Linked DNA regions of Astyanax mexicanus. The protein of the gene in region 3 interacts with the protein of the main gene of each other region in a pairwise test. Links are inferred from orthologs where the notes say so. Each region holds a gene or a part of one and is shown on either strand. Other genes may lie near its edges.

The links.
Region 1: the proteins of katnal1 (region 3) and cytochrome c oxidase copper chaperone interact in binary tests that used the Homo sapiens proteins (3 or more experiments, as listed by UniProt). The two-hybrid records come from large-scale screens. The link is inferred for Astyanax mexicanus from reciprocal best matches to the Homo sapiens genes KATNAL1 and COX17.
Region 2: the proteins of katnal1 (region 3) and katnbl1 interact in binary tests that used the Homo sapiens proteins (3 or more experiments, as listed by UniProt). The two-hybrid records come from large-scale screens. The link is inferred for Astyanax mexicanus from reciprocal best matches to the Homo sapiens genes KATNAL1 and KATNBL1.

What each region holds. Positions count from the first base shown.
Region 1 is NC_064418.1:25,448,937-25,459,574, reverse strand, and holds cytochrome c oxidase copper chaperone, read right to left. Parts: upstream 5,260-10,638; 5' UTR 5,163-5,259; intron 5,141-5,162; exon of another isoform or gene 5,057-5,140; intron 3,733-5,056; 5' UTR 3,717-3,732; coding exon 3,598-3,716; intron 3,364-3,597; coding exon 3,279-3,363; 3' UTR 3,256-3,278; intron 1,272-3,255; 3' UTR 1,110-1,271; downstream 1-1,109.
Region 2 is NC_064408.1:76,333,847-76,344,919, forward strand, and holds the start of katnbl1 (KATNB1-like protein 1), read right to left. Parts: upstream 5,222-11,073; 5' UTR 5,021-5,221; intron 3,104-5,020; exon of another isoform or gene 3,032-3,103; intron 2,334-3,031; 5' UTR 2,323-2,333; coding exon 2,206-2,322; intron 2,083-2,205; coding exon 2,045-2,082; intron 1,891-2,044; coding exon 1,620-1,890; intron 1,100-1,619; coding exon 984-1,099; intron 851-983; coding exon 800-850; intron 592-799; coding exon 502-591; intron 412-501; coding exon 307-411; intron 1-306.
Region 3 is NC_064427.1:14,351,188-14,362,317, reverse strand, and holds the start of katnal1 (katanin p60 ATPase-containing subunit A-like 1), read right to left. Parts: upstream 4,209-11,130; 5' UTR 4,098-4,208; exon of another isoform or gene 4,070-4,097; intron 3,500-4,069; 5' UTR 3,414-3,499; coding exon 3,252-3,413; intron 3,064-3,251; coding exon 2,903-3,063; coding exon of another isoform or gene 2,866-2,902; intron 2,600-2,865; exon of another isoform or gene 2,495-2,599; intron 2,421-2,494; exon of another isoform or gene 2,111-2,420; coding exon of another isoform or gene 2,016-2,110; intron 1,453-2,015; exon of another isoform or gene 1,390-1,452; intron 1,353-1,389; exon of another isoform or gene 1,098-1,352; intron 1,061-1,097; exon of another isoform or gene 821-1,060; intron 779-820; exon of another isoform or gene 1-778. Other genes in the region: hmgb1a (high mobility group protein B1a), read right to left, coding at 6,258-6,404, 6,631-6,805, 6,923-7,068, 7,169-7,315. UniProt on the Homo sapiens protein: Regulates microtubule dynamics in Sertoli cells, a process that is essential for spermiogenesis and male fertility. Severs microtubules in an ATP-dependent manner, promoting rapid reorganization of cellular microtubule arrays.

The DNA.
Region 1 (10,638 bases), on a different chromosome or scaffold from region 3:
AAACAAACAAAATGTGATTTGTAACTCTTCCCTGCAGTGGTGTGCTCCACATCTATGCTGATACTGCATTTCTACCTTCCCCCAGTTTTCACAATACATTTCCGCACAGGAGTGCTGCTCTGACACCCCATTCATTATGGCCTTAGTCACTAAAACAGAGCGCACTCCAGCACACCTTAAATGAGACACTTCATTAATTTCAGTCCAGATCCACCTACAGAATAGCCCAATGTGGAGGAGAATAGTTGAGATAAGCTGAGAGCAGGCCTGGCCGCTGCAACTCTATTTTAGGCACATGAGCATAGTTAAGAGGAACAGCTGTCGTCACCAGACAAACTCTGAGGAAAAGCCTGTTAAAGAGCTGCAATCCAGACACTTTCATACTGTCACTGTGTATTTTAGGAGGAAACAGGCAGTTTACCTAAAATGTCACCCCACAGACACTGCTGTACAGTGTCAAACAGACTAACAGACTGTCACTTTAAATACTAAACTACTTTAAAGAAAATCTAAGGTCCAGAGGATGGTTAAAGAAAAACTTTTCTTATTTAGGCCTTTATGCAGCCTTTTACACTGCATTAACAAATTATTTTACACCAGCCAGATTTCACTAGAAACTAATGTTAATGATCTAACGTAATGCTTTTACTAATCATGTATTCATGTGACATGGGAAAAACTTTTAAGATATGCTTGTGGACCTGACCTGCATTTTAAAACTATGCACTTAAAACTAGCCACTTAAATCAATCTACTGAGCCTAATGTTAACCTGGCTATTACAATTATTAACCACAAACGTAGGTGTTTTTTTAGATTTAACTGTTTTTAATTTAACTATGTACAACATTATTCTGTCATTATAGCATAAACCATTATTTAAACTATTTTTACCATTAAACCATTACTTAAACTATTTAAAATTTAAAAGTGTAAAAAATTTAAATAATTCTACAAATTTTACCCAAGTATTTTATAAGTATGTGGACTTGTGAACTCTGAGGTTAAACTTTCCTCTCAGGTGTTATTTTTACCTTGTGCAGGCAAATAATTAATTTAATCAAATTAATTTAATCTTAAAATAAAACTTAAAAAGAAGATGAAAATGCATAACATTGCATAGGATGTTTATTCATCATTTACAGAAATATTTGAAACAAAAATAGAAAAATCACATTTGTAAAAACCAAAATAGAAAGAAAGAACAAAGAAATCTTCCCTCTGTAGAATAAATAGAAGTAGTCCAAACGCCGATCCACGGTGAGCTCTGCCCTGCAAGAGCCGAAATACAGATTTATTAAATGAAAACCAACAGCTGTTTCAACAGAACACATTTACAACTGCTAAACACAAATAGCAGCATGGTCATGTGACAGGAAATATGCTGATGCTGCATTCTTAAACTGCTGATAACACTATACAGTGATGAAAACCCCACCCAAACTGATTACAGGGCAAAATAAGAGATTTTATTAAGTAACTCTTTCTTTTAAACCCACATACACACACTCCATTTTACAGTATACTCTATGGGAGAACTTGTGTAACAATTTGGAAAAAAGCTGGAAACTCTAAACTCTAGAGAAGCAAAAGTAAAATGTTCAGCAAAACAGATTTACACAATCTCCACTTCCCTGAAGTACAGCTGGTCAGATGAGTGGGATTTATTAATGGCAGAGTTTAGTAGAGGTCAAGACAGAGCAAAATACTTCAATTTATCAATGCTGCCATTTATAGACCAGATCTGCCAAAATGCCATACATGCAAAAACAACTGAAAACAACTTTACAATTAAAATATTACGAAATAAAAACTGTATTGTTTTAAATAAATTTATAAAATCATAATTATAATTTAATTAATAAGTAAATATTGGTAATAAATAAATATTTAAATAAGTACGCCCAAATAAGTTGATTTATATTTATTTTCAATTACTTATTTCACTATTACTTTTATTATCCCTTCAGGCAGACAACAGAATAGAGCCCTTTCAAACCCGTGGCAAATATTGCTTTTTAATAAACTTACTTATCTTTTCCTCTCTAAAGAATACTTCTGTTATTGCAGTTTTGTTTACAGTCTGTTCAGCTGACTGTCATGACTCACATGCAGAGACTACTGCTGCTACTGTTATTACCCCAAGATTGTGGCTGATGATGGTGCAAGACTTATGCAGACAGGAACTGTGACACTTTTTGCTACACTGACTTGCTTGGGCAAGAGTCATCTTGGTTCTGTTGCTTAATAGATCTCACTTTTGCTCTGAACAGTGATGTTATCATATCATACCACAGCGCTTAAACTACAGCTGCAGCTGTCAAGTACTAAACTTCAATGTTCCAAAGTAACAAAGTGGAGTCCTGCTAACAAAAGCACAAAAAATAAACCTAAAAAGAGGCAATTGGTACCATTAGCTTTAACTTAAAACAAGGTAGCTTTTATGAAGTCAATTTAATTAGGCATTTAGCATCACTGGTCATGCTTGATACCAGTTTACAATTTCTTCAAAAGTTGTGTGAATTTAAAGAGCTGTGTTTTCATGATAACTTGGCTTGTTTTCCCTGTGTTAGTCTGACTCACAAGTGACTGGAGCAGAACTACATGGGTAAATAAGTAAATACAATATTAGAATAGCACTTCTGAGGTAAATGTGTGACTAGAATTGCACTGCTTGTCTGCTGAGATATTAAACATGTACAAGGTTTATTAAATATGTTTAAATTAAAACTTTTTAAATTGCTATATCTATTAATTTATTTAATGGCTAAAAAGTGGCAAATTTAATGAAAACCATGGTCAAATATTTTCATTTTAGTGCAAGTAAAAAATAAATACATGCAAACTATGAACAAAAATAAATATTTAATCTTTTTGTGTTTACTCCTGCTATGACATTATTCCCAGCTAAATTTTATATATTTTCATTCATCAATGAAATCATTTATCATTTTTTTATTTTATGCCATATCTGGTGACATTCAAATAATTTAAATTATTTTTTTTACTTGACTTACACTAAATATACACATAACACACAGATTAATATATTACTATATATATATGTACAAGTGACAATCAGTGTGAAATGTGTTCAATACTTAATGGCAGGCACAAACTTAAATCATTATATCATCAGTTACATGAGTTTGATGACTTCAGTCTCAGAATAATATAGCAAGTTAAAAAATGACAATTTGAAAGTACTACTGTGTACTAATGCACGTCATTTTGTAATGATAAAAGATACACCTACCATTTATTTTCACACCTCTGATGTTATATTTTAAAGCCAAGTGCTCTCATACACTCCTTGTGTGCCTCAATGAGATTTGTGCAACTTTCTTCCCCCTTCTCAATAATGCTGCAAAGAAAAAATACTATACATGAACCACAAATGCCAAATATAATAACACAGTTATTATTAAACACAGTAGATTGTTGTTAAGAAGTGAGAACTACATTATTAAGAGCTACTAACGTCATTTTGCAATTACTCATTAGCTCCTCATGTCTACAGCTGATTTTAAAAGCCTAATTTACAACTTTGTATGTCAATACACAAACTGAAATCTGACTGTACTTCCAATGTCCTTACCAGGCATCCCTGGCTTTTTTGGTTTCTGGGCATGCACAGCATGGTTTCAGAGGCTTTTTCTCTTGTGCCCCCTCGATTGCAGGGGCAGCCTCTACGCTGGCAGCAGATATGGTCGACATTATCTTTCTGAAGAAGCTGTAAAAGCAGAGCAAAACAGTCTTTGGTTAATCCTACAGTCTTACATAATGATGTTCATTAAAAAAAATAAATAAACTTGACAGTTACATAACAAGGTTCACCAAACTTGCACATACACTCATTGGCCAATTAACCTTGTACTTCTACCATACAGAAGCACTATTCAGATTTTAAATTTCTGATTGTAGCCTATCTGGTCATTGTTTTCAGTTGCCATCTATCATACTGATCAACTGAAAGGATTAATCATAGGCCCACTGACTACATTATTGGAACACCATTCTCAGCACAGCAGTTACACTGGCCTGATTACTGACATTGGGAGAAGGATCTGGGCTGATCTACTGTCTTGTGTGTCACCACACTGTATTAGTTCAGTAGTTCATGTTATTTACACGATGAAAGACAAACCTATTAATAAAACAATGTGTAATAGTATTAGGATCACATATGCAGGTATGAAGCAAACAAACAAAAAAATCAAAATCAAAAAGTCAAAATATGTTATACTTTGGATGCTTCAAAGTAGCACCTTTTGGCTTGATGCCAACTTTGACCACTCTTAGCATTATTCTCTCTGTTGACTTAATGAGGTAGAACCTGGAATAGTTCTCCAACTGTCTATAGGTTTAAAGTTAAAGTTAAGCTTAAAGTTCTAGGTTGTTTTATTTTTGTAAGGTGTTTGTAAAGGCCAAACCTCTCTTTTTTGCCTATTACCTTACTGTAAGTCTTCTGTTATAGTTGTATGTCTTTAATATTAATCAACAATGTAGAATATAATACATATAAACAAATATTAATGAGAATGTGAAGGGTACTCTATACAGCAAATACATACAATTTAGAGAATCAATAAAAGGAAAAAATATTGTATGGTTAAATTAAATCAAATATAAAAAGACAAATGGGTATATCTGAATGAGTAATAACAGTATCATGATAACAGAATACAAGTAAAATTAGATATTAACTCGACAATGTATAATGTACATGAATCTGTAAAACTGCGTTTAATACAAACCACACAACACTAAGTTACACATATTAACCTTAGCCGTTAAAAAAGTTATTTCTAAGCAACCGGTTTATTATAACTTTAGCTTATCTGCCCCAAAATGTATATACACAGCTGGGAGGCAACAAGTAGTTAAATTCATAATTAAAATGAGGGAATGTCCGCTAAACCTCTGAGCAGGTTTATAGTCAGAAATCTGTCTCTCTTCAGAATCCAGTTGGGTTAACCTCTAACAGAATCACTGGCTGATGTAACCTAAACTAGCAGATGTTTAGATAAGCTGAGCTCCTGCGCAGATCACAGTACCTCTGTTTCCGGCTTCTATCAGCCTTCCGCTGCTTCACATGTGTTTCTAACGACTGCGATCTGCGATTATAGGAGATATTAAACAATCGATAAACTCCACACTTACATAAACAGCAGCAGCAACAGCAGACAAAGCGCGACCTTCCTCACACAGCGTGGAGCAGCCTGTACAACATCCGGGGTACTCCGGGGAGAACCTTTCATCAAAATAAAAGTCATTAAGTCACATGTAACGTGCTATTTCAGCGTGCAGTGACTTTGATCCTTTAATGATGCGTTTAATCACTTTAATGTACAGTTTCATATGTTTTTTAGAAAATAGTTTAAATTACTAGTTAAAAATGTTAAACATCATGTTAAATCAGCGACACATGATAAAGCAGAAAGAAACATTGCAACAGAGTTAGTGTTTTCTTATGTGTGGCAAAAACTCGTGTCACGATTTTATTTTCCTCTATAATTTTTTTATTTTATTTTAGATTCAGCGCTGTCCTGTACACGTGTTTTATGCTTCTGGTGGACTCTGGTAGGCATTTTGTGTACAGCTTTAGAGAAAATCAAATACATCAGAATCTAAGATACAGATTAATTGCGTTATAATGATCTGATTAACTTAAACAAGTTCAGGATAACATGTGATAACTTGTGGGCACACATGAGAACAGTACACTAACACTGCTGCTAGTCTTATTTAAACTAACATTATATCAGTGTTCTCAAGTCTCACGCTTTGAGCGTGTGACACACGCACCTCAGCGATGTTAACACGCTCACACGCCACACATGGTATTTCTCACGCTTGCGAATTCATCGGCTGTATATTATAATGTACTCTCGTTGAGCCAATCAGAATATAGATCACTCTGTTGTTAGGCAGACCTAGTCAAAGAGGGTGGAGTTTTAGCCAGAGTGTCAGGCGCAAAGAACTGTTCGATTGGAAAGTTCTGAAACACACGTCGGTGAACAACTGAAGGAGAACGGTGGCAAGATTTTTCAGGTTCACTATTTTATGTCATTAAATTAAACTTTAAATGCAACATTTTCGGTCACTGGTAGACACATTTGTGGCCAATGTGTGGCCAGTGCTACGTTGGTCCAAATAGTTCCTTAAGACGTGCCAGTCGGTGTGCCAGTTGCCGTAAGATGTAAGATACAGGGTCAAGGTTCTTGTATTCTGGTCCTTCCATTAAAATGAATAGCTTTCCCTTCTCCCAACAAACCTGATTCAACTAATCAGCTCATTAACAAGCGCTTTAGAGATTCAATGGGTTTGTTGGTGCATTGCCAGTCAGCACCCAGCTGAAAAAGTAAAGTAACATTGGCAATAAAATAGACAGGTATCATTTATTTGCATATCATTTGTACTTTAGATTTTATCCATTTACAATAACCCCCCCCCCCCCCCATAAAAAATTTGCTTGTCTATCAACGATGGAAAAAAGTTTCATTTAATGTAATAAAAAAGATAACCTGAGAAATCTACATTAATGGTACGATACAATTATAATTGACATGCACAAGAAACACTCATGAAATCAATTTCATATTATAATGAATGTCACGAATCCCAATAAATTGTCCGGGGAATGTATACATAATGTCAAGATTCTGAACTTGAGAATGCTGTCCCAAAACGACAGGTAGTTTAGCTAAAGTTTTGTTCAGAATTCCTAAACTACAAGCCTGGCTGATTCAGCAACAGAAAGGATTTTGCTCACTAGGTGCTCGGTACCCAAAGGTCCAAACCTTGCAAACGTCATCCAAACTCATCATGTACAGTATTTGTAATATTGCAAGGTCACACATATTGTATTTAGCTCTGTGAGCTGCTGCTGCTGCAGCTTTTCTGAGTCCAGAGTCCATTAAAATGAACTTTTTTGTCAGTAGGTGGCAGTTCCTGAACCTGGAAATGAAAATCTCCATGGACTTGGTCATTGTGTTATTGGTAATAATTTTAAGTTTACACAGAACATTTCTATGTAATATTACTACTTACTGAATGAGCAATTTGTTAGGAGAATCTGTACAATTAGTCAGTCATGCAATTAATCAGCCAATCATGTGGCATGAGAGCAGTGCATAAAACCATGCAGATGCACAGTGTATTATTAATTACAGCAATATATCACAGATCCCTTGCATTTGTTTCATTGCACTTAAAAACGATACAGGGCACTGTTAAACTGGAATCAGTTCCCTGCTACAATCACAGGTATTGTGAGTCCAGTGGGGTCTTTCCAAAGTGCAGAAGCAGAGTATTTTCTGTATGTAGTCAGAAATAACCTCAAGGCTGCTGCACACAGCAGCCATAAGATTTTGTCAGCTTAATACATATTTTGACTGCTGCATGCTTACTGTAACTTGCTGCACTGTAACAGTCTTTACATTAAAACAATAAAAGTAAATGCGACAAGAGAAAATTAAATGTATTTCTTGTATTGAATGTTAAAAGACAGGACAATGCTAGAAAAAGGATGCTAACAAACTTTTGACCATTAATACTCTAAAGGACAACCATCCAAGAGTTGCTTTACAAAGCTTTTCAACCACTTTAACCATTTAAAACCAGTTACCAGCAAAAGCTGGTCTTGAGCTAGACAGGCAGTCAAAGAAAAGACAGCAGAGAACAACCATAACAACAGTTGCACAAAGACCGTTAGGGAATATATTTTCAGTAGTACATAATAAAATGATCAGTATGGGTCATCATATATTAAGGAAACATGGAAAGTTCAGTCCAGTATTTTATTACTAGAACTGTGTGGTATGTCATGGAAATCTGTGTGGGTGTGGTCTCTGTCTCCTCCTGCTGCTCATTTCCAACACTGTAATCCTAAAGTGGGAAAGAAGCCATGGAAGCTAGCAAGCAAATCTTAGCTGCTACACAGACTAAATATTCTTGGCATTCATTGAAAAAGCTCAGTGATCAAAGACAGAATAAAACAATAGTAAATATAGTCTCACAGAGGGAGAAGTTTTCGAGCTCAGAAAGAATACAAGACGCTGTGCTGCTACTTTTCTCCTGAACAGGTAGCTAAGTTACTTTGGCTAAATAATTTATCATAACCACTAGGTTAGCTTTCTAAGGACAGGTATTTTAATTCATTTAAAATTTTGAGTGTCATTTAAAATTTTCAGTGGTCTGTGTGCAACTGGGATAACAAGGCAGAGAATACTTGAGATAGCTAATGCTAGCTAGGTTAGCTAATGTCATCTGGACTATGCTGGCTAACCCTGCGTTCACAGTAGAAAGCGACGTGACAGATGAACATTCATTTTCTATGGCAGGGCTGAGGGACAAGTGACACGGAGTTTAAATGTTCTCAATTTTATGCAAATTAATTATTAATTAATTATGACACAGTGAAGCGACATTCTAACTTGATTTACCTGATTTCTTTCAACTTATTACATAGGCAGTCTGAGGTCTTCAAGCTTCTGATCTTTAAACTTTTGGTTCCCTTCACATTTTCTTTCCACCACACAGATATAGCCAAGAGTCTAGCAAGCTCGGGAGTCATAGCTGAGGTTTTGCTAGTATTGACCCATGCCCTTTACTGGGCAGAGAAGAAGAAAAGAGGGGGAGCGAACTCAGAGTATTTGGGCTGGAGTTCGGGGCAGCTTCGCTGTAAAGCGTGAAGCCGAAGCCCCCCCCCTCTCATGAAGAGAAACATGAGGAAATAGAATAAAATTAAAGAAGGAGGAAGATGGGTGTTACAGATGAGAAGGGTGGACGTGAGTAGGTGCAGATATATAATATTTCAATTTAATTAATAAACAAGATAAATGAAAAACAGAAGACAAACACGGATAGCGCAAAAAAACTAAGAACTAAGAAAACTAAGAACAAAACTAAGCTAAACAAACAAGAATAACTAGAATAACTAGAAACTAGAAAACTAGAATAACACTAAAACAAAATTAACAAACTTGGCACACTTACTTAACAAAACAGACCTGGACTGAAGAAACAGATTCAAGGAACACAAACTACAAAACTGGTACATGCAAATACAGATGACACAAAAAGACAAAAGACTCAACAAGAAAACACTCATACAAGGGGCTTTTTATACACAAGGAGGGTGAGGACTAGTAATGAGGGGGCGGGGTTACAAACAAGACACAAGGTGACAACAATGGCTAGGGTGGGGCTAAGGCGGAGACAGGGAGGAGACAGGGACAAAAACACAACAGTAGCACATGGCTGGGAACACATGACAGGTAAACAGAGCAGAAGCACAAGGGACCAAATGAGGGAGAAATACAAGACAGACATGGGCTAAGGTGTGACATTACCCCCCCTCAACGGCGCCACTACCAGAGGCGCCGAGAGAGGCAGGGAACAGGGGAACAAGACAAGACAGAACTATGACAGAGGAACTCAGAACAAAAGAGGTGACTGGACTGTGGATGGAAATAGAGACTGGACTAAAGACAGGACAGGGGGCGGAGACTGGACAGGGGACAAGGACTGAACAAAAGACTGGACAGGGGACATGGACTGAACAAAAGACTGGACAGGGGACATGGACTGAACAAAAGACTGGACAGGGGATAGGGCTGGACAAAAGACTGGACAGGGGGCTTAGACTGGACAGGGGACACAGATTGGACAAAAGAATGGGCAGGGAGCTTAGACTGGACAAAGGGCTGAGCCTGGACAGAGGATTGGACGCTAGACTGGACAGAGGGCTGGACACTAGACAGGGACAGAGACTGGACAGGGGGTTGAAACACAGACTGGACAGTGGCCGGGAACTGGGACTGGACATGGGGCTGAACACTAGACAAAAACGCAGATGGGGTAGTGGACGGGAACAAGGACTGGACAAGACTGGACAGGGGAACTGGGACAAAAACATTGACAGGGATGGACACGAACACAGTGACATGAACAGGAACTAATACAGGGATAGACACGGGTACAAATACACTCATAGACTGGAGCCCAGGACTGGTGAGGTTCAAAGTCTTAGGGGCCAGCCTGGGCAGAGTTTGAGGGGCTGGAGCAGGAGACCTTGGAGCAGGTCTAGGAGCACACGACCTGGGGGTGTGCTTAGTTCTGGGAGCGGGCACAGGGTCAGAGGGGGCCGGAGCTGCGGGCACAGGATCAGAGGCGGCCGGAGCCGCGGGCACAGGGTCAGAGGGCACCGCTGGCACTGTAGCTGAAGCAGTGGGTACCACATGGGCGGCAGGCACTGCAGACATAGGAGCAGGAGCGGCGGGCACCGCTGGCACTGGAGCTGGAGCTGAGGCAGCAGGTGCTGGAGCTGAGGCAGCAGGCACTGCTGGAGCTGGAGCTGGGGCAGCAGGTGCTGGAGCTGGAGCTCAGGCAGCAGGTGCTGGAGCTGAATCTGAGTACTCCTCTGCCAAATCCTCCCCACCTCTGTAAGGATTATCTGCTACGTCCATAGTAAAGGTCGAGTCTTATGTTACAGATGAGAAGGGTGGACGTAAGTGCAGATATATAATATTTCAATTTAATTAATAAACAAGATAAATGAAAAAACAGAAAACAAACAAGGATAGCGCAAAAAAATAAGAACTAAGAAAAATAAGAACAAAACTAAGCTTAACTA
Region 2 (11,073 bases), on a different chromosome or scaffold from region 3:
AAACACAATAAAACATAGTATTGTACTGTACTGAATTGTATGAGCACTTTTTTAGGAACACTATACAAGTACACATGGTAACACCTTAAGTCTCTCAAGACTTAATTTAACTTAACTTAATTTCTTAATGGCACGGTTTCCACAAGATTTTGGAAAATCATCTTTGAGATTCTGATCTATTATAACATAACTGCATTATGCACTTTTGCCATTAATTTGGCTGACAAGATCACTGCACAAATTGGCACATACATAGTTGTTCCTAATAAACTGCTTTTGTAAAGATTTTGTTAATAGAGATAATACCTGTCACTTGAACAGCCATCTTGCAAGCGTTTGCCATCTGAGTATAGTTCAGGCCACCATTTTTTAATGACAGACTGAACCCAGTGTAAAGCCACAATGAGGTGCCTACATGAAAATAAACAAATTATAACAAAAAAATAATTAAATATGGGTACTTCCACTTGGAACTGATTTTCACAATAAAAAATAACTTACGCTTCAAATTTACTGAGAAGAATTGTCTTCACTTGTGGAAAAAGGTCTACACAACAACCAATGGATATACATTGCTGTTCGTCTTGAAGGCTAAAAAAAAAAAAAAAAAAAAGAAAAATATAGAATACTGTTAATACGATTCAGAAGTAAACTGTTATTCTACTATCTTAACTATTCAATGCAGTGCAGCAAAAATTATTAATTTTATTTCTGAATGCGTAATACTAAATATATACACACAGAGGGCGAGGGGGGGGGGGGGGGGTACTTTATGGTTTTCACAGTTTGTTTAACTTACCTTTTTGTAAGTACAGGTAGACAATCAACAAGGACCCCAGTGTCTTGTATTCTGTACAATAATACATAAAAAAACAACTTACAAATTCTATTGCAAATACACCTAATACAACACAAATGCAAAAATCCTTTTTTTTTTTTTTATCAAAGGTGAAAGATGACTAAACAGTCTGTAAAATCTTTACCTGATCAAGTAAGCCACAAGTTCACTAGCATTTCTTCGCCAAAGAGTTAAAGCAACATTTAATCTGAGATTCCTTCCAAACAGCACATGAGTCACTGCATCATGATCCTTTGATAACTTTAAGGGAAAGAAAAATGTTATTAGCATAGACATCAAAACATTAATGTCTGTCAATAGGATCAAGCCTACTAAAGGAATACTGCAGTAATTTTCAATCTCATTCTTCTGCATCTGTAGTGCACAATAGATCACCAATTTAAATATTTTTCTATTAGGGATGTGATAAGACTCATCTCACAAGATGGGACACGATATTCACACGAGTTCATGAGAATAAGATGAGATGAGATTTTAAAAATCTTTATATACACTTTATTTTAAAACTGAAATGTATAAATGAAAATATTGTATTTCACTGAACGAGATCTTGTCACATCTCTACTTTCTATAATTAAATACTTCTATGTTCCTGAGTAATTAAAAATTGATTTTTATACTTTTAGATAGACAGATTTTAAGCAAGCTATCTGTTATGTTGTGTTTCCAAAAAAAAAAAAAAAAAAAAAAAAAAGTTTAGTACTATAATTTATCACTTGTTGATCTGCAGCTTCCCTTAGTTTATTCAAAAGGAACTCACCTCAGTAAAGCAGTCACTATACTTGGAGCCAGCTCCTGCCATTTTAGAGGCTTCTGTCAAGTTCACAGGGAACCCACAGTTTTCCTTATAGTGAATGCCATCAATGTCCTCGGCACATGTCAGTTCATTTTCTTTGTTTGCCATGTCAGAGGACCTGCCTGCTGAGGGTGCTCTCCGGCGTACACCAGAGCCCACTGCTGAGAGACGTGTCTTCTTGCTCACCACTCGCTTTGCTTTGCCGTAGTTGTGTGCACAACGTCCCACTGGAAATCTGTCAACAAAGCAGAACCCTCTTTAATGCTTAGTGACAATGTTTTCATCATTTTGCTTCTTTCAATTTAGAAACTGGGTTATGGCTCATCAATTCATCCCAACATTGAGATAAACAGATCATCATGCCCTTATTGCCATGGCTCAAAACTCACCTTTCTTTATTTATTTCTTCCTTATTTAAATAATCCACCTAAAAAGAGAGGATAGGCATACTAGTATTCCTCGAGTCGGCAAAAGTAGCTTTCACTGCTTTTAGCCAACATTTCCCGTCATAAAACTTGCAGTTCAGGGATGTCAAAATGTGTGAACTCACCTCCCTCATGTTCTTTCCATCTCCAAGACAGTTTTGGTGTTTGAAAAGATCAAAGGACTGGGCCTGCATGAGCCTGTGGAATTCTGCATCATTCCCAACATGATTTCCAGTGGCCATAATCAAGAATTCTAAAGAACAATGACAAAAATGTACTCAATGCATGGCAACTACAGTTTTTTCATAAGGCATTGTGGTCCAGACATGAAGTAAAAATACCATGAGTTTTATGGCTCAATCTTATGTAAAAAGAATGATTTATACTTTTGTTTCGAGTGAGCACGTTGCCTACACTCTAGTATTTGTAATGTCAAGATGGTGGCACCCGGAGAACTACCTCAAGGTTCTGTGTGTATACCTTGTGTGTACACTGTGTGTCTTTTTTATTTATTTATTTTATTTTATTTATATATTATTTTTAAAACAAAATGCCAGTGCACTTTCAAATTTCTTAGTGCCTCATTTTAAATGTCAGGGCCCTTAGAATTCAACCAATGAAGTGTGAAATGCTATGCCCCCGCTAGCTTTGGAAACCTGTTGGGAGCATCAGCTAAGAGCACTGGAATGCTCTTAGTCAATTTCACACCAGATTTCTTCTTTAAGATGGTTTTAATACTATAAGCATAGATTCATTTCTTATTCACGATGAGAACAACAGCTGTGACTGCTACAAAGAGTTTTTTATTTACTATCACAATCAGTCAGTGATCCGATGTGTGCCTTCTGTTTCAACCTGTAATGTTAATAAGGGTAAAAGGGCTGTAGATTTAAAGGATACCTCTAGTGTAAAATTGACTTTGGGTGTAGTAAAAAATGATAGAGTACTAACCTTTGTTGACTAGCCCATGTTCGTTCTCCCGCAGCTTTCTGAGATCCAGTCATTTTTTAGCAGTTTCCACACCTCATTGGTAGAATCTAAGGAGCTTTGACATTTAAATCGAGGCATTAATAACTTCAAAAGTGCACCAGAAACTTATTAAAAACCCCTGTTTACATCTCACAGCATAACCTAATCTCTGGGCACCCAAGGTTGTAGCTAACGCTACAGGTTCTAAACAGTGGTTTTAATAAGTTTCTTGTGCACTTTTGAAGTTATTAATGCCTCGATATAAATGTCAAAGCTCCTTAGATTCTACCAATGAGGTGTGGAGCTAATCTGAGCCTGGATAACGGTGTAAAAAGCAATTTATCGGGTCAAAATATGCCCCATACAATCCATTCTAAAGCATTTGTGGACAAACTGAATAAAAATTGCTGGATCTCAGGAAGCTGTTGGAGACCGGAGGTGGGCTATTCAACAAAGGTTAGTACTCTTTATCATGTTTTACTACATCAAAAGTCAATTTTACACCCGAGTTATCCTTTAATTAAGTGTTATTAGCACTATCTGCCTTTAATAACGCATTTCAAGCCCAAATTTAATTGGAAAATTGCACTGTAATTTGGTCCAAGTATGACATATAAATTTATATCCATAACCATTTGAGGTAATGTAATTTGTTTTTTAAAGACAATATAATACATTTATTCCAATAACTACAACTTTAAACAATTCTGTATTCCATCAGAGATCCAACACAACAAACTAGGTAGTATCTGACTTATCTTAAGTCACGTACGGGAAGCAGTCCCAATCAGTTTGACAACATGTAGCTAGCGGCAAGGGCCCAGTCTTCCAAAAGCATCTTATTGCATTAAGAAAATCTTAACATGGAGAGAGAGGGCTCAGTGTGAAGCTTGCTCGTCCATCTAAGAATTATCTTAGTGCTAAGAACCTTTTGGGAAAACCAGCCCAGGACTTTACAAACCACTTTATTAATAACGGATTAAGACGTATATGCTAAAGCTAGATACACTTTACTTAAGTTAGGTTAGCTAGCGGTATCTTACATAAGTATTAGCTATAATTAGCCAACACGGATACGCGTCAGGAATATGTAATGTATCTAATTAACGTTAAAATACCCAATTTTGTGAATCAGCTTTGTCAATGTAAGCTAACCATACGTTTTAGCAAGACAGTTAAATCCTGCACGCAGCAATGGCTTAGCTAGGTAGCTAACGCTAGCTAAACTAGCTAGGTTTAAGCAATCCCTAAAGGAGGAGTTTCCAAAACTCAGAAATGGGAAATCCATGCCCCGAATGTATAAATCCACTCCAGGATTTAGTCCCAACTGCATGGCTGGCTGCAAACTGCAGCGAACCCAATCAAGGCAGTTGGAACGAAATTCTGGAGTGGATTCCTCCTGTGTCTAAAACAGAACTAACGTTAGCTCCTCGGCGTGCTAACCCAGCTAAATAACCTAGCGGTAACGTTACATGTTTAGCCGCCATGAGCAAACAGATTTTGTCAGTCTGGACCGAATATAAAACTGCTAATAACAGGTAACCTGAACGTAATTGAGTGAAAACCGGCACTTTAACGTTGTTACGGTAACGTTAGTTAAAACTTGTGGACGGCCGCCCACCGTTCTATTAGCTAACGCTAGCTAGCTAGCCAGTTTAGCTACCTTGCTAATTAGCAGCTATCACGTTCAGAGTCAGCCAAGTAGTTAGTTAGCTAGCTAGCTAGCGTTAGCCAACCTAACCTAGCTACCTAGCTCATACAGACAAAAGACACAGCATTATTTCAGCTAATTCATTTTAATCTACCCCAGCCGAGACACCCACGAAATCAACTAAATAACAACTCTTCACTACTTCTCTATGCAGCTAGCCAACGATAACAGCTAACTAACTAACCTGTGGTACCGTAGTTACACAATAACATATGGCTGCTTAGTCCCTTCAAGTCTGATCATAACGAAGTTCTCCTTACCATGGCATTTTTGTCAGTTAAGCTCAGTTTCTTCAGCTTCCTACGGCAATATAACACGGTGATAATCTGTGGATGAAACACCAGAAAGGATGACAGCTAGATTTTAATGCACATTCACGAACTGGGCGAAGCCAGCACCATTCAAATAAATACAAACTTTGGCTGCTGGGATTGTGGGATTGAGGGGAGTCTCTGGCGGACTCAAAACCAGGAGCAGGCTGGAGTTTGGCGACCTTCACCGGCGAAACGTGGAAGAGCCTGAAATTTTAGCGTCGTCTTTATCTCCATGCACTTGACTAGAAATTCTATTTCTGATGTGACATTTCCTGTTGCTAGATTTATTGTTCGTCTTTATTTGATAATATACAATGGAAAAAGTATTGAAAATCACAAAAAAATAATAAAAGAAAAAAATACTGTAGTAATAATAATAAGGTGAAAAGGTGTCATTTAAGGTTATACAGCTCTGGAAAATATAAACAGACCACTTCAGTTTCTGAATTAGTTTCTCTGATTTGCTATTTATAGGATATATGTTTGAGTAAAACAAACATTGTTGTTTTATTCTATAAACTACGGACAACATTTCTCCCAAATTTCAGATAAAAATATTGGCATTTAGAGCATTTATTTGCAGAAAATGAGGAATGGCTAAAATGAGTTTTAAGAGTCCAGAAATGAATATTTGGTGTATTAACCCTGTTTTTTAATCACAGTTTTCATGCATTTTGGCATGGTCTCCTCCACCAGTCTTACACACTGCTTTTGGATAACTTTATGCCACCCCTGGTGCAAAGCAGTTCAGCTTGGTTTGATGGTTTGTGATCATCCATCTTCCTCTTGAATATATTCCAGAGGTTTTCAATTTCAATTTTTTTGTGGAATAGAGAAAGAACAAGAAACTTGTTGAAGACAAACTTCTTTTCAGTATCATAGACGGTATCATAGACATTTAGATCACTGCTGGTGAATCAGATGACCTTAGAAATGGTTGAATTGGGTGAGTGGAAATGACCACACCTTCACACCTTCACACTTATTCTTATTGTTGTTTTACATATGTATATATATATATATATATATATATATATATATATATATATATATATATATATATATATATAATCTTTATGAACTTGGCCTTGGAGGTGGTTTGTACTTTTATAGGAATCAGGAAGGTCAGAGTGTTCTCATTAACAATGAGTAATGAGGAGAACATGACCCTGAGTGTCAGAGAAGCTTCACTGCTACACTGCTGTTCTGGGACCAGTGTATATGAACTAGGAGACAACAAGCTATCTGAAGTGAGTCAGACACTAAGTGAAGTGTTGGAAACCTCTTCTCAGAAGAGGTATACACAACGTAAAGTTGTACACATGCAGGCCAGATGACCTTACCATTTACACTTATCTTCTGCTTCATCTTCTCAGAGACTTAAGGAAACCTAAGGACTGTTTGTATAAGTCTCAGTCCTCTGTGCCAGAGCTTTGGTCATCCAAAAAAACACTAGCTAGCCAATCAGCATAGGGTATGTTTTTACTAAACGACCAGCTGGTCTTGTCCAAAATAACATAGAATACTCCCAAGTAAATTATCATTTAATTTAAAACTTTCTGTACAGACAGACTTTGTGGACACACTTCATTTGAATGTTTTACTCCAAGGCAAACCTTACACTGAAGCTCTTTATATTATGAATTGTTTTGTTAAATGTCATTGCTCATAAAATCTGACATTGCTAAGAACCTTAAAATATTTAACAGTAAGTGAGCTGACACTGGAATCTGGATGAAAAAGCCTACATTAGGCCTCCTATTCAGACAGCCACAAAAATTCACTCACCACTGTTCAGTGGGGCTGTTTAACCATAGCCTAGACCCTACTGAGAATTAGAATTTGATCCTAATCACAAAGATCCAGCTGCAGAACAAACATGCTAGGCTTTCAAATTGTAGTGGTTTAGATCACTGTTATATAACAGAAACTGACTTTGAATTTAATTTGAATTTTAGACATTTTAGGTCTGTTTGACTTCATGAAAGATTAATAGCAGATTTGATGTTTATGCTAAACATATTTTTTTTATTTTAAATAACAGTATTAAATGATTGACAGTCTGTGGGTAAAGTTTTTAAATGATGCGTAACTGAGGATTTCTATTATCTGTGCTGGTTGGCATTTTGTGGCAGGATGGGAGCAACTCAGTATTTCAACACAGCAAAAAATGAATAAGCAAAAATATAAAATGTATATAAAACTCAAGATGTATATGCTTATATTACACAAAATCTCCCAGTTGAATAAGCACATTTTTATTAATAAGATTTCCTAAAATAAGCAATCTCAAAATCTTTAAAATAAGACAAGTATATTCCCTGTTTTTATATCATACATTTGGACACAGGAATCAGAATAACTTGACTGAATGGCAAGTTCAAATCACTTAAAATCCTTAGTGAGAATAAGGGGCTTTGTCCCACAATAATTTTACATTTACAATGATTGGTAAGAGATAAATTCAATCAAAAAAAAACAACCAAACATATTTAATCTCATGAACATGCAGTATTTTTATGAACATGTAAACTCTCAAGTATTATGGTGGACAGGAACTGACATGAGTATAAATAAATAAATGCACATTTAAATTAATAAATCAATACTCCTATTCATGTAGCTTGCCATCAGCTGCTGGAGCCCTGAGAGAGAACAATTGGTCTTGCTCCCTCCGGGTGGGTAGATGGTGCTCTCTCCCCACATTAGTAAAGGGTAATTTCTGCAGCACAAGGCATCTGTAAACTGATGTACCTGAACCGAGTCGCTGCACTTTTCTCCGAGTGCACTGTGATACTACTCCACAATGCTGCATCAGCAGCAGCTCGAAAAGAGGATAGGTAGCTGACTTCACATGTATCGGAGGAAGCATGTGCTAGTCTTCACCCTCCTGGTGTGCTGGGGCATCACTAGTGATAGGGGGAGTCATAATGAGTGGGTTGGGTAATTAACTGAGCAAAATTGGGGAGAAAATGGGGAAGGATTAGAAATAAAATTGTATTAAAGAAAATTTATACATCAATGAATAAATAAAAAAAATAGATAAATAAATACACAAATAATTGTATAGATAAATACATTAATTAAAACACACATTTTGTCATGAAAAAGTACACACCTAAAACCTAAAATTCGTTATAACAGGAATCTATTTCCATATTTTCATGCATGAACCTTTATTTGGGTCTGTTTCTACATTTCTGCATTTATTTATACTATTTTTGATTGATGTTTTTCTACATTTATTTGTTTCTGCATTTCTTTATTTATTAATTCATTTATTTAGTTCAACATTTTAACATTTATTTATTTATTTTCCCCCCACATTTCATCATTTATTTATTTCTTTATTTCGTTTGTGTGTTTATTAGGTAGGCGGTCCTATCCTCACTCTAAAGCAGGATTAGTCAACTGGTGTTTCAGACAGAAGCAACCGGTTTCTAACTCTACTGTTAGGTGCCGGCCTTTCTCTCAGATTTGTGTGGTTTGTCAGTGTTCTTAGCTGATTCATGTCCATGTGGGGAAAAAAGAGAAATATAATTAATAGTCAAAACATTAAAAATAAAAACATATTGCGAAAGCTTTGAGGACCAAAAGGCACAGCATTCTGAAAATGACCTTTATGTAAATGTTAATAACCCATCGAACCAGGACCTTCTGAGAGGCGAAGCAGCTAGCTAACATGGATGAAGAGATTATGTTACTACAATGTGCTGGACTCACTGAGAGCAGTCATCTCTTCCCCTTAATCCCGTATCCTGCTTTTTGCCCTGGTGATTACGGAGGCCGCTTGCACGCTGCAGTCCTGGGGACAGAGTGAAAAGGCATGTTGCTCTTGGCTGTACTTCCAGACATCAGAGCTTAATATCAGTAATTGTGTTTGCATTACGTAAGACTGTTTGAAGTGATTCTTCTCACAAGTGCTGCTCTGTTCTTTTCGAGGGCAGGCTGCCACTGCTGAGGCTTAGGGCCATAGCTTCTATTTCGCCTTTGACCACAGAGCGGTCTCCTATGATACGCCTCAAAGCCATAGAGGAGTTTAGTCGCACCATAGCGTTTCAGCAATGCCTGAGGATTCAAAGGGAAACAACTATTGCCATTAAAAACAAATGAAAGGGGCACAGTGATTTGTGCATGTGTTTCTCTTCGGCACAAGTTTCATGGACCATTGCTTTTTCCCACTACTGAATACTACTGGGAAATTAAGAATAATTATATCACTGGGACAGACAGTGCAGACAAAAAAAAACAACATTTTCTATCAGTGATTTATTGTGCTTTTACAAATACGCTCTATGACAAAAGTATCAAGGCACCCCTTCTAATCAGTCATTTAAGTTTATTTAAATGACAAGAAGCTCAAATGCACACACAAACATACACACACACATTTTATATAATCCCCATTAGAAATGTCTTGCTGGCAGGGCAGACATTTGCATGCAGTATTTTAAAATGCAAAACACAAGCCCATTTTTATTCATTTAGAATTATGATGACTATTAAAGTTCAAGGTCATAATGCCCAATGTTAAAAGGGATAAAAAGCCCTCAGTATTGATGGACTTCTGTCCAATGAATTTGGGATGTGTCAAAGTGGTGTTTGTGATTCAGAATCACTGATCATCCAACATTAGTACCTGACCTCAGTAATAACATTTTGTGGCTGAACACAAGCAAATACTTACAGCAACTTTCCAACATCTATGTAGGACTTTATCAGATGTATACAGCTGTTATTGCAGCAAAGAGGGAACAATTGATACCCTTGCTTTCAGAAAAAATGTTGGACATGCTGGTGTCTACAGTCTTTTGGACATTAAGACCCAGATTAAGTCTAATCCCAGACTGAGGAGAATTTCCAGTGGAGATTCCCCAATGATACTGCACTTTAGCCCAAAAATACACTTAATCCATGTCTGGGAAACTTGCCCGTCTCTTACTCTTGTGCAGCAGGGCTCTCAATGCCTACAAACTATACTGTTTAAACTTGTTTAGAAAGAGGGGCCATTTAAATAGAGCTTTTAGTACACAGCTGTCAGTTGCACCAGTCAACCAACTGCTTGAATGCAATTCAGAATAGTAAACAGCTTCAAATGCCAGATGTTATTTCTGATGGCTTTTTATAAATGGCCATTTTTGTGTACCATTGCTTGCAGTTTCTTCTTTTGTTCCTCACCATGTTTCTGGAGCAGTGTTTGGAACAATAAGGCAGTGTTGAATGAAATGGATGGAGTTCAGCTCAGGATAAGACAATTTACACAACATCTGTGATGTATTTTGAGGTGTCACTCGGCTAAGTAGGTGGTATTTAGTACAAGCAGCTGATCCTTTGTTGTAGTGTTGCAGTGTTGGGCAATGTGGAAAAAAACACAACATCCTGCTGACACTTTGAAACCTAAGCCCTTTGTTGTGCAGATCACAATATACATGTTTATATTTTCTGAGGTTTGTTAAGACGGATTAGACAAAGAAATAAGAACCGGAAATGTTAGTATTGGATCAGGCCACAATGTTCTTCACCACAAGATGGTAGTGTAAAGCTGTAGAGTCTGTTGTGACCATGAAGGAGCTCTGCAGTTCTGCAGCTCCCACTGTGAGCTTTTACTGAACTTTCACTGAGCTTTTACTGAGCTGTGAGACTGCCAGAGCCTCCCCCACGGATTATAGCTACTGTTTAGGAGCCTGTAGACAGATATAACTGTGCTTAGGTTACACAGTCTTATTCAATGTTCTCTGTATGATCCACTCTCAGGTCATTCAGTACATTTGTTTAAATTAAAATGTATCCTCAAAATCCTCATCCAATATGAAGGGGTTATGAATAAGGATTGCATCAAGAGTTCAACTAATTATATGTTACATAAACATTTTAACCCTAACCACCGACCATATTTGTCTTCAAAAACTTCTGACCTCTATGTTAAAAAGCAGACCTACCTATAATCAGTGCAATTCTGAACCTATGTGAACCTGTTTTTGATATTGTGCCTCAATGAA
Region 3 (11,130 bases):
GATAATCATAGTCTATAGTGTTTATTTGTATGTTTGTTTACCTACATAACAGTAAACAATATTTTAAGCAGTCATGCAAAGAACAATGCATCAATAAATATATTTTAACAGAAATTTTAGCCAGGCATTCCCACATAGTTGTATGCTGCTGCTAAATGCTGTTACTACATGTTAAAAGAAGGTTTTACAAACCAGATGTACTGGGAATAAAGAGTTTCATATATTACAAAGGGAAATTACACGGAATTATAACGGTTATCCTACCAGACAAAAACCTGCTTATGTATTAATTTGTTAAATAAATTATAAGCAGCTTGTATAAAACAAATTAAGGCATTCATGACAAACACTGCAGGTACATTTCTGAAAGCAAATGATATAATTAAAATGATGAATATAAATAGTTTGGCAACAGTAAATGTAGGGTTTTGTAGGTTATTCTATTATATCATGAATAGAATATTTATTTTAGATCAAATTAATCATAATACATATCACTAATAACACACTGCTTAAGCACATCACAGTACACTGGTAACCATGACATATTTTAATTGCTTTTACATTACTTAGATATAAAGTGAGGCTGTGGCATGTGCTACATGTGCACAGTGTATACATGCGGCCAGCTATATCTATGTTCTGCAGGTGTATACATATGGCCAGCTTTACCTGTGTTCTTTGGGTGTATACGTATGACAAGCTGTACACGTGTTCTGCGGGTGTATACGTGCGGCCAGCTATACCTGTGCGGGTGTATACGTATGGCCAGCTATACCTGTGTTCTGCAGCGCAGATGTATACGTATGGCCAGCTATACCTGTGTTCTGCAGTGCAGATGTATATGTATGGCCAGCTATACCTGTGTTCTGCAGTTTTATACGTATAGCCAGCTATACCCGTGATCTACAGGTGTGTTCTGCGGGTGTATACGCACGGCCAACTATACCCGTGTTCTACAGATGTATACGTACGGCCAGCTATACCTGTGTTCTGCGGGTGTATACGTATGTCCAGCTGTACCTGTGTTCTGCGGGTGTATACGTATGTCCAGCTGTACCTGTGTTCTGCAGGTGTATACATATGGCCAGCTATACCTGTGTTCTGCGGGTGTATACGTATGGCCCACTGTACGTGTGCTGCGGGTGTATATGTATGGTCAGCTGTATCTGTGTTTTATGGATGTATGCGAATGGCCGGCTGTACACGTTTTCTGCGGGTGTATACATATGGCCTGTTGTACGTGTGCTGTGGGTGTATATGTATGGCCAGCTATACCTGTGTTCTTCGGGTGTATACATATAGCCAGCTATACCTGTGATTTGCAGGTGTATACGTACAGCCAGCTATACCTGTGATTTGCAGGTGTATACGTACAGCCAGCTATACCTGTGTTCTAGAGGTGTATACGTATGGCCCACTGTACGTGTGCCACGGGTGTATACGTATGACCAGCTATACCTGTGTTCTGCAGTGCAGATGTATACGTATGGCCAGCTGCACCTGTGTTCTGCGGGTGTCTATGTATGGCCTGCTGAACATGTGCTGCAGGTGTATACGTATGACCAGCTATACCTGTGTTCTGTGGGTGTATACGTACAGCCAGCTATATCTGTGTTCTGCGAGTAGATACGTACAACCAGCTATAGCTGTGTTCTAAGGGTGTATACATATGGCCCACTGTACGTGTGCTGCGGGTGTATACGTATGGCCAGCTACACCTGTGTTCTGCTGGTGTATACGTATGGCCAGCTGTACCTGTGTTCTGCGGTTGTATACGCATGGCTAGCTGTACCTGTGTTCTGCAGGTGTATAGGTATGGCCCGCTGTACCTGTGTTCTGCAGGTTTATACATGTCCCGCTGTACCTGTGTTCTGCGGGTGTATACTTATGGCCAGCTGTACTTGTGTTCCGTGGGGGTATATGTATGGCCCACTGTACCTGTCTTCTGCAGGTGTATCTGTACGGCCAGCTATACCTGTGTTCTGCGGGTGTATACATACGGCCAGCTGTACCTGTGTTCTGCAGGTGTATACAAATGGCCCGCTGTACGTGTGCTGTGGGCGTATAGGTATGGCCCGCTGTACCGGTGTTCTGCAGGTTTATACATATGTCCCGCTGTACCTGTGTTCTGCGGGTGTATACGTATGGCCAGCTGTACTTGTGTTCCGTGGGTGTATATGTATGGCCCACTGTACCTGTCTTCTGCAGGTGTATCTGTACGGCCAGCTATACCTGTGTTCTGCGGGTGTATACATACGGCCAGCTGTACCTGTGCTCTGCAGGTGTATACATATGGCCAGCTATACCTGTGTTCTGCGGATGTATACGTACGGCCAGCTTTACCTGTGTTTTGCAGGTGTATACATATGGCCAGCTATACCTGTCTACTGCAGGTGTATCTGTACGGCCAGCTATACCTGTGTTCTGCGGGTGTATACGTACGGCCAGTTGTACCTGTGTTTTGCAGGTGTATACATATGGCCAGCTATACCTGTGTTCTGCGGGTGTATACGTACGGCCAGCTGTACCGGTGTTCTGCAGGTGGATACGTATGGCCTGCTGTACCTGTGTTCCACGGGTGTATACGTATGACCAGCTATACCTGTGTTCTGCAGTGCAGATGTATACGTATGGCCAGCTGCACCTGTGTTCTGCGGGTGTATATGTATGGCCTGCTGTACGTGTGCTGCAGGTGTATACGTATGACCAGCTATATCTGTGTTCTGTGGGTAGATACGTACAACCAGCTATACCTGTGTTCTAAGGGTGTATACGTATGGCCCACTGTACGTGTGCTGCGGGTGTATACGTATGGCCAGCTATACCTGTGTTCTGCTGGTGTATGCGTATGGCCAGCTGTACCTGTGTTCTGCAGGTGGATACGCATGGCTAGCTGTACCTGTGTTCTGCAGGTGTAGGGGGTGGCCATACAGCAGGGTCCCTAGGGCATTCTTCTGGCTGGGGATTGGGAAAGTCAACTGGCTTATCCACCTTGAAACTCTCCAGAGTGTTAACGATACTGCTGACCTGCTCATATTCCTCCTCCAGCTCCTGTCGCACCTGCACTCACCAGATAAAGATATCAAAATTAAATCAAGTTAATTAGCTATATCAGATCAAACATTTAACAATCATTTGACAGATAAGGCTGTATAATTGTATTACGTTTTACATTTGTTTTATGGACCTGTTCTACATCATTTAACTTACAACAACATAGTTCACTGATACACAAACTGTGTGCTCACCTGCTGCCACTTAACTTTCAGTGCAGGATCTCGAAGAGAGTGACAGTGCTTGTGGATCTGCTGGAGAACACCCTGATAGTACACCATGGAGGAGTCATAGTTGCCAAGCAATGCATATTCTCTTCCCTTCTTAGCATTGTCACAGATCTCAGTCAGATTCATTTTGTAAAAATGTGTAAAGAATGTGAGGATCCAATCTGAGGGCTTGGGGTTGCTTGTGTTGAAGGTGCTTTTGTTGACGCGAGTCCCTTAAAATAAGCCACAGCAGTCAGAAAGGGGAGGACAATAATTAGGCCACAGAAAAGCTTCAGTTAGGAACTGTGAGTAAACATATTCAGCGCTGATTGACGCCAACAGGACTAAATTATTAAATACCCGCTTACAAAGAACCAAGCCGTATTTAATATTAATTTTTAAAATGTAGCTTAAATAACTAGTTAACCTAGCTAGCGTTTGGTGCATTCAAAACTAATATTTAAACCTGTGAACGCGCAAAACAATAAGAATATGCATCAAATCAATATAAACACAAAAATACGACCGAAATCAAACAGCACAATACAACGACACTTTCAAAACGAGCTAAATTTTGACTTGGGATTTGTAGTTTAATCGACGGAACTCTCTTTGACAATTGAGTGATTCTTTCAGTTAATGGACTACAATTCCCATCAGGCGCCCCCGGTTAGGCCAGCAAAAACACTATGAATACACATGGTAAAAAAAAGGCTTAAATTTGATTTAGGGTCAAGCACGCCTTAAAATCTCAGTTTAACCCTGTACTATACGATACATTTAAATAATGTAAAAGCTTTTACCTCAAATATAACCCATAATCTCTCTTACCCGCAGACCGTAGCGCCCTGTTGTTACCATGGCCGCGGAGAGACGCCGACTGAAAAACGTCGGAAGGCGGATAGAGAGGCGGAGCTTCAGAGAAACGAGGCCAAACCGCGGTGACCGCGAGGCCTTCAACTTAACAGTCCTTTATTGCTGCAAAAACTGGAAAATAACTATGTATCTATATATATATATATTTATCTGGAACCAGTTGTAAAATATCCTAAACCTGACTTATTTGGGAGAACAAGTAAATGCATGAACCCTAAATATCCCTAAAAACCCATATGACGTCATTCCACTGCGTTGTTACATACACAAACATGTTGAAAGACTTCAGAGAAGTCATTATCACAAAACTGAGGCGAATAGAACTACAACAGAACAGAACTTGCCACGAGAAGCAAATACAGTCTTTATATGTGGATAAAATGGACTTTTAATAATCATGTTGCCGAACTGTGATACATGAGATGAACCTATTATCCTCTTAAGTTGTGATGTTTGTGGTGCAAGGGATATGAAAAAAATAAATGCACAAATCACTAAAAATCTTAAATGTCTAACCATCAGTTTAAAGCTGAAAAGAGGATTTTACAACAGAATAATTAGACAGACAATAGGCTTATCTCAAAATACATAATAGACCACCTGAAGAGACACAAACAAGCTTCTGGTATGACCCTCAAGTTCCCCTGTCATTTTTTTATTAGAACTAGACAAGCTGTTCGTGCAATGCAACTTTAGAATATTCTAGAAGCTAAGGTCTTCTGCAAAGAAACATGGGGGAACCCAAGACTTGGGTAGTAAATGCAAGCTATAAACAGGGCATTCCTTAGTACATACTCTGTAACATATCAATACTTATCACATCAATCATTTATTTTATTATTTTGTTTTTTTTTGTAATTGGCACAGTCACTATAATCAAAGCACATCACACCATGAGATAAATAAAACCTGAGCTAGACTGAAACAAAATCCACTAAAACACTTGCTGTTTATTTAATTTTTGTTTTTTACTTAACGCATTGAAATATTTAAAAGTGTGATGTCTGTAATATGATTAATCAGGTCATTGTTATCCCTCATTTACAAAATAAGCAAGGTCAGAAAGCCTGACACTGTATGTGGTCTGGTTTGAAGAAGCCAACAGCGGGTTGCCGTTTATTCGGAATTAATACATATTTTCTTGCTTTTATAAACACATTTCAAGCCTTTCAGTAATATGAAGCAATATCTAGATTTAAACATATACACCACACACTAATACATTAGACTTATCTTTCACTTACCCTTACATTAATGCTCATGACAGTTATATATACACATAAATTTAAACTTAGATTATTCTGTGACCCATGAATTTACTATATAAAATGAATATTAAAAGTATTCTCATTCGCTTAAAAATAATTTAAAAGAAAAAAAAATTATTAAAAAAAAGGTTTATTGATGTCAGAAGCTTACCAGAATGTCAATGAAACAATTGCATTTTTTTCTTTTTTTTAATCATTGTGGCAATTACAGTGGTATTCAAAGTACAGTAAAATAACTGTATGATACGGTAATTTACTAATGATAGTGATGTGAAAAAAAAAGAAAAAATAAAGACATTAAAGATATGAACTACAACCTCACATTAAACTAGGTTGTGTGCTGCACACCTCTAAAATTCCATCAACGCCAAGCCATTTTTTTTCAACCCCCTTAGACTGTACTGGGCAAGGACAGTGGCATAACTACCGTTACATAAGGAACTTTATAAAAATAAAAAATAAAAAAAATAAAAATTTGTGTGTGTGTGTGTGCGCCATATATATATATATATATATATATATATATATATATATATATATATATATATATATATATATATATATATATATATATAACAGAGAGAGAGAGAGAGAGAGAGAGAGAGAAAGAGAAAAATCAGGGAAAAAAATACAAACAAACACAAATGACACTTTTGTAGTGTTACTATACAAAAAGGGGAAAAAAGAAAAACTGTACAGCTTAAAACCCATATCATATGCACAACCATAATTTTATTTTTTTCCCTTTAGTTTTACCTCATTTACCCATTTTATGGCCTCAGTTAAGTGTGTACAGGGGGGTTAAATGCTTTATAAACAAGAAGCTAAGCTCTAATTTGTAACCAATTTATTCATCATCATCATCCTCGTCATCATCATCATCGTCTTCCTCATCGTCGTCGTCATCATCGTCGTCGTCATTGGCTTTGTCCGGCTTACTGGGGGCTTTTGCAGCACCCCCCACAACTTTTCCCTTCCGATATGCAGCAATATCCTTAAAAATGTATTTAAAACTTGGGTCAATCTTAATTAAAAAAAAAAACTAAAATCTCAACGTCTGACGAACCATTTAGCATAGGCTAAAATAAAAATATTCTAATAGGATTATCAAAAAATACAACGCTTTCAAATATGTATTGTTTATGAGACAACAATAATACTGAAACGTCTAATCAATCTAATCAATAACTAGGTTATTTAGATTATTTAGTGATATTTACCTTCTCATATTTTTCCTTCAGCTTGGCTGCCTTTTTCTCATAAGGCTGCTTCTCTTCAGCAGAAGTCTTATTCCACATTTCTCCAAGCTTCTTGGCCACATCTCCAATAGACAGACCTGGGGTCTCTTCCTTTACCTTGGGCCGGTATTCCGCACAGAAAATGAAAAAGGCTGACCTAAAAATAGTCAAAAGTGCGACAAAATATGTTTAGCATAGTTCTGACAGTTGACATTGTGAACTGATGCATGTATGTCAGCCAAGACTAAAAACTAAAGTAATATAAGGTTCTTACGGGGGTCTCTTAGGGGCATTGGGGTCCTTAAACCTCTTCTTCTTCTCACCTCTGGGAGGAACATAGTTCTTCATCTCCCTCTCATAACGTGCCTTGTCAAGTCTAGCCATTTCCTCAAACTTGCCTTTTTCCTTGGCTGACATAGTCTGTGTAGGACACAATAAAGTTTTTTTTAATACTCATGCAGGTGAGAAATTAATTTTGCTTAGAGGTCATCACATACATAGCTTCACACATATAGCTCACCTTCCATCGCTCAGAGCACTTTTTAGAGAATTCTGAGAAGTTGACTGAAGTGTCAGGGTGCTTCTTCTTATGTTCCTCTCTACAGGTCTGAACAAAATAGGCATAAGAGGACATCTTTCCTCTTGGCTTCGTTGGGTCCTTCCCCATCTTCAATATATCCCTAAAACGGAAAAAGAGAGAATTCATATTTTGCATCATGTCATCCATCTGTACACGACCACAGACACAGACTCTTCACCTGAGACCTCCGTGCACCTAGTGCTTCACATTTCAGCAAAGTCTGTGTGTAGAGAGATCGCAAGATTTTTTCCGTTTCCTTGAATAAACATAAACTTGCAATGGCAACAGATCAGCTGTTTACCATCCCGATGTTGCGAAAAGCTTCATATTAATGTTTATAAAACACAAAAAGTTGCAATAAAAGCTAAAATTAAAGTAATGATAACATCGAATAAAACTAAGATCCGAAGTTGAAAATGGGTAATAAGAGTAAAAACAACCAAACTGATAAAAATATTGTGCGTGCTAATCTAGGCATAACATTGTACAAGTGGTAAAAAACTGTTAAAATGTTTTAAAAAAAATCCAATATACTGTCCACTGAAAAGAGCGATTTCTTCTATGTACTCATATATAGCAATGGCGCACAGGCTGTCTTGTTGAGGGAAAGGAGGTCAACAACGACAGCAATATTTCTCCTTCCATTTTGTGAGAAAGCCTTCTTCATGAAAGAAAGTCCTCCTAAAATGTCTCCACCCGCCTTCCTGTTCGCTTTTTAATTCGACAAATAACGGCGAAAGTCGGTGTTCTTGACAAAATTTCTCCTTCATAAAACCCTATGCACTCGCCCGGTGTATAGTAATACACTAGGTCTGTAGTAAGTCTATGTACGGGCTGTGTAGAGTTTGCTGTGGGCTCGGAATGGCCGCTTGTCTTCATCCACTAACACTGAGAATATGGCTCCTTCTCTTTGTGTCAATGCTCAGCCATTACACTGCATGCAATAGGGGGCAGAGCGACCGCGGTACCCACCTTATTTTAACTAAGATTTTAACAACGTCACTATACACGGAAAAATAAAAAAACGCATTCACTGCAACAACGAAAGATTGAATTTTTATTTTCTGGCGAAATATCTCTCGGTTAAATGCAGATACCAATAGAAAACACGGTTCGAAAAAGTTGAAGTGAACTGCGCTTGTGTCAGGCTCTGTGGCTTCGCCTTGTTTCCTATGCGAGTACAGTCAGCCATTACAGTAAAGCGCAGATCCTGAGGTAATTTTTTTCATCAATTTCTTCATCATTACACAAAAACCGATTACACGAACAAACAAGCACCCAGCGCACGATTCAGCTCATTTTTTACCTCAGTACGTTTTTTATTTCTGTTTATTTCCCACAGCCAACTCTCTTCACATGTTTGACATCTCCGGCTATGCACTGCAATGGCTAGCTAGCAGGCTAACGCTGACTTGCTAGCTTGCTAGCTGCCAGTAATACCTTCCATAGACCTTGTTTGTACGCAATTCACTCACCTAGCTTTGCACCGAACGTTAGTTTTAACGAACACATTTAATACATGTAGAAATCTGGCAGTCAAGGCTTTAAATATAATCAGAATTAGGCAAGACTGTTGTTTATTTTTTTTTACAGGAAAATGTAAATCTAGCAAAGATTACGCTTATTTCAATAAGATGATAATACACGGTCTAAATTCACGGAATTTTTTTTAACGTTTATAAAATTAAATATGCAGTTAATCTCGACATTAGATTTTGCTTAAAATTTACACAAGGTTTTCGTTATCCATACAATTCTGTACTTACCCACACTTCCAAATTTATATAGCTGACACTTTCCAAAGGCTGGTGCTGATTCTCAATGCACTGCAATGGCTGTGTGGAGGTAATAGCGATACGCAGTCTTCTCACTCAGCTCTTCGCTCTGTAACATTACTCTCAGTAGGGCTCGCATCCTATTGGCTACCGCCAAGCCGAACGTTCTGCCGATTGGTCGAAAACTTTCCATTGTCCTAATAACAGACCCACTCGGATTGGCCGTCTTTTGTGAAACGTCACGAGTGTTTTAAATGGCGGGTTAATACAAACTACGCTGTGTTTCTGTGCTGAACTTGAAGCAGTGTGTTGGTAGATACCGTGCACTGTGTAAGCTATAGCATTACTAGGTTCTGTGAGTGCCATACGGAACACTGAATCAACGGGTCTGTGTGGAGTGTGGTAGAGAGCGCTGTAATGTGATACAAAATACTGAATGAATGCGATCTGACTCCTCGCTGAACTCGCCCTCCATACACTGTTTAGTTCAAATTAACAGAGTATGTAACTGTATTAAAAAATATTTTTATATCACAGATTTCTATATTTTAGTGCCAACACGCCAAATGTGTTTTAAATAAAGTAGTATAAAAGATGCAGCCATTAACAGAACAGTTTCAATCAAATGCTTATGACTGTCCGACGTGATTAATAAACAAATGCAGAAAAATAAGATATACACCGATTATTCCTTTTTCTTTTCTTTTAAACATACTAGTTGAACTGAGTCAATGTATGGGCACTCAATACATTTACATAAAAATTAGTTTAGTTGCATTAGCATCTGACTGTTTTATTAGATTTATTAAATTCAACAAATGTTCAAAAGCATTGAGAAACCTACAATCTTTTACTGTAGAAATTTGACTGTAGGCCATTTTTGCTGAATGTGTGTAAACTAATGCACCTTTACTAAGAGAATTCACTAAATAAATTAAAAACTAAATGGTGAATTTTAAAGTTTAAGTGTACAATAATAACAAATATCAGTTAATATGTCAGGCTTCCTGTGTGCTGTCTGTCTAGCTATCTGTCTTTGTGTCAACCTGCACCTCACTGTCTGTCATCAGTTAATAGATTTTTGTTTACTGATTAATTTTAATTTCAAATTATATTAAAGCATTGTCTCTGGAAAAAAATATTATTTGTGATTATACACATGCATACAACTGTCATTGTAATGTACGTGATATCCATAGTAAATACTTTACAAATAGTTACATTTTGTTCATGTTTTCTTTGTAGAAAAAAAGTAATCTGAGTAATTTATCACAATAATTTAACACTATAGGCATACAAACAATAAATAAACAAGCTAAATAATCTGTAAAAGAAAAGAAAGGCTAGTGCATGTTAATTAAAATTTCTTGGGAAAATTATGCAAATGAATATTGTTAGGGACTACGGTGACAGCAGTATATAAGAAGCAGGGGGAGCCTGAAGGGGAGCAGTAGCCCCTCTGTGCTAATGTTTTTTTGATGAGCAGCTGCAGCAATCTGCTTGCCTTCAGAACAAACATATGCGCATGTACACACGAAGCACATGGTGTTATATATTGCAGACATTGTGTGTGTGTGTATCTGTGTGTGTGTGTGTGTGTGTGTGTTTGGGGTGCGTTGACAGCTTGATTAATGAAACACAAGTATTATACATTTTTTGTTAATTTAATTTCCTGATTGAATTGTGTTATTTGAGCAGTGTATGTATAATTAAAAAAAACGTTTATTTTTTATGTATGGGAATTGCAGTCACATTGAGGCTCTGGTCCTGAGGTTACAAAATAGAACATGAAAAATATAAAAAAACAACGAAAAATGTGTGTGTATTTTTTTGCTTGGTTTGTTTATGTAGATCCTCTTATTGCTGTGGGTTATCTGCAATACACATAAGTTACACGCGGTGGCGCTGAAGTAGCTTTTTGCTGTCGCATTGTAGATCCTGTGGTCTGCCGATTTGTAATATCTTGTCAAAATTCGCTACCATAAATTATTATGAGTAAAGCTGTCCTAATGCAATAGTGGGCGAAATATTTAATTTGGCTAAAAGCAGCATATGAGAAAATGCTCTTAGCAGAACAAAGGTAAGATATTTGGATGGCTTAAATCACCATATCAGATAGACAGGTTT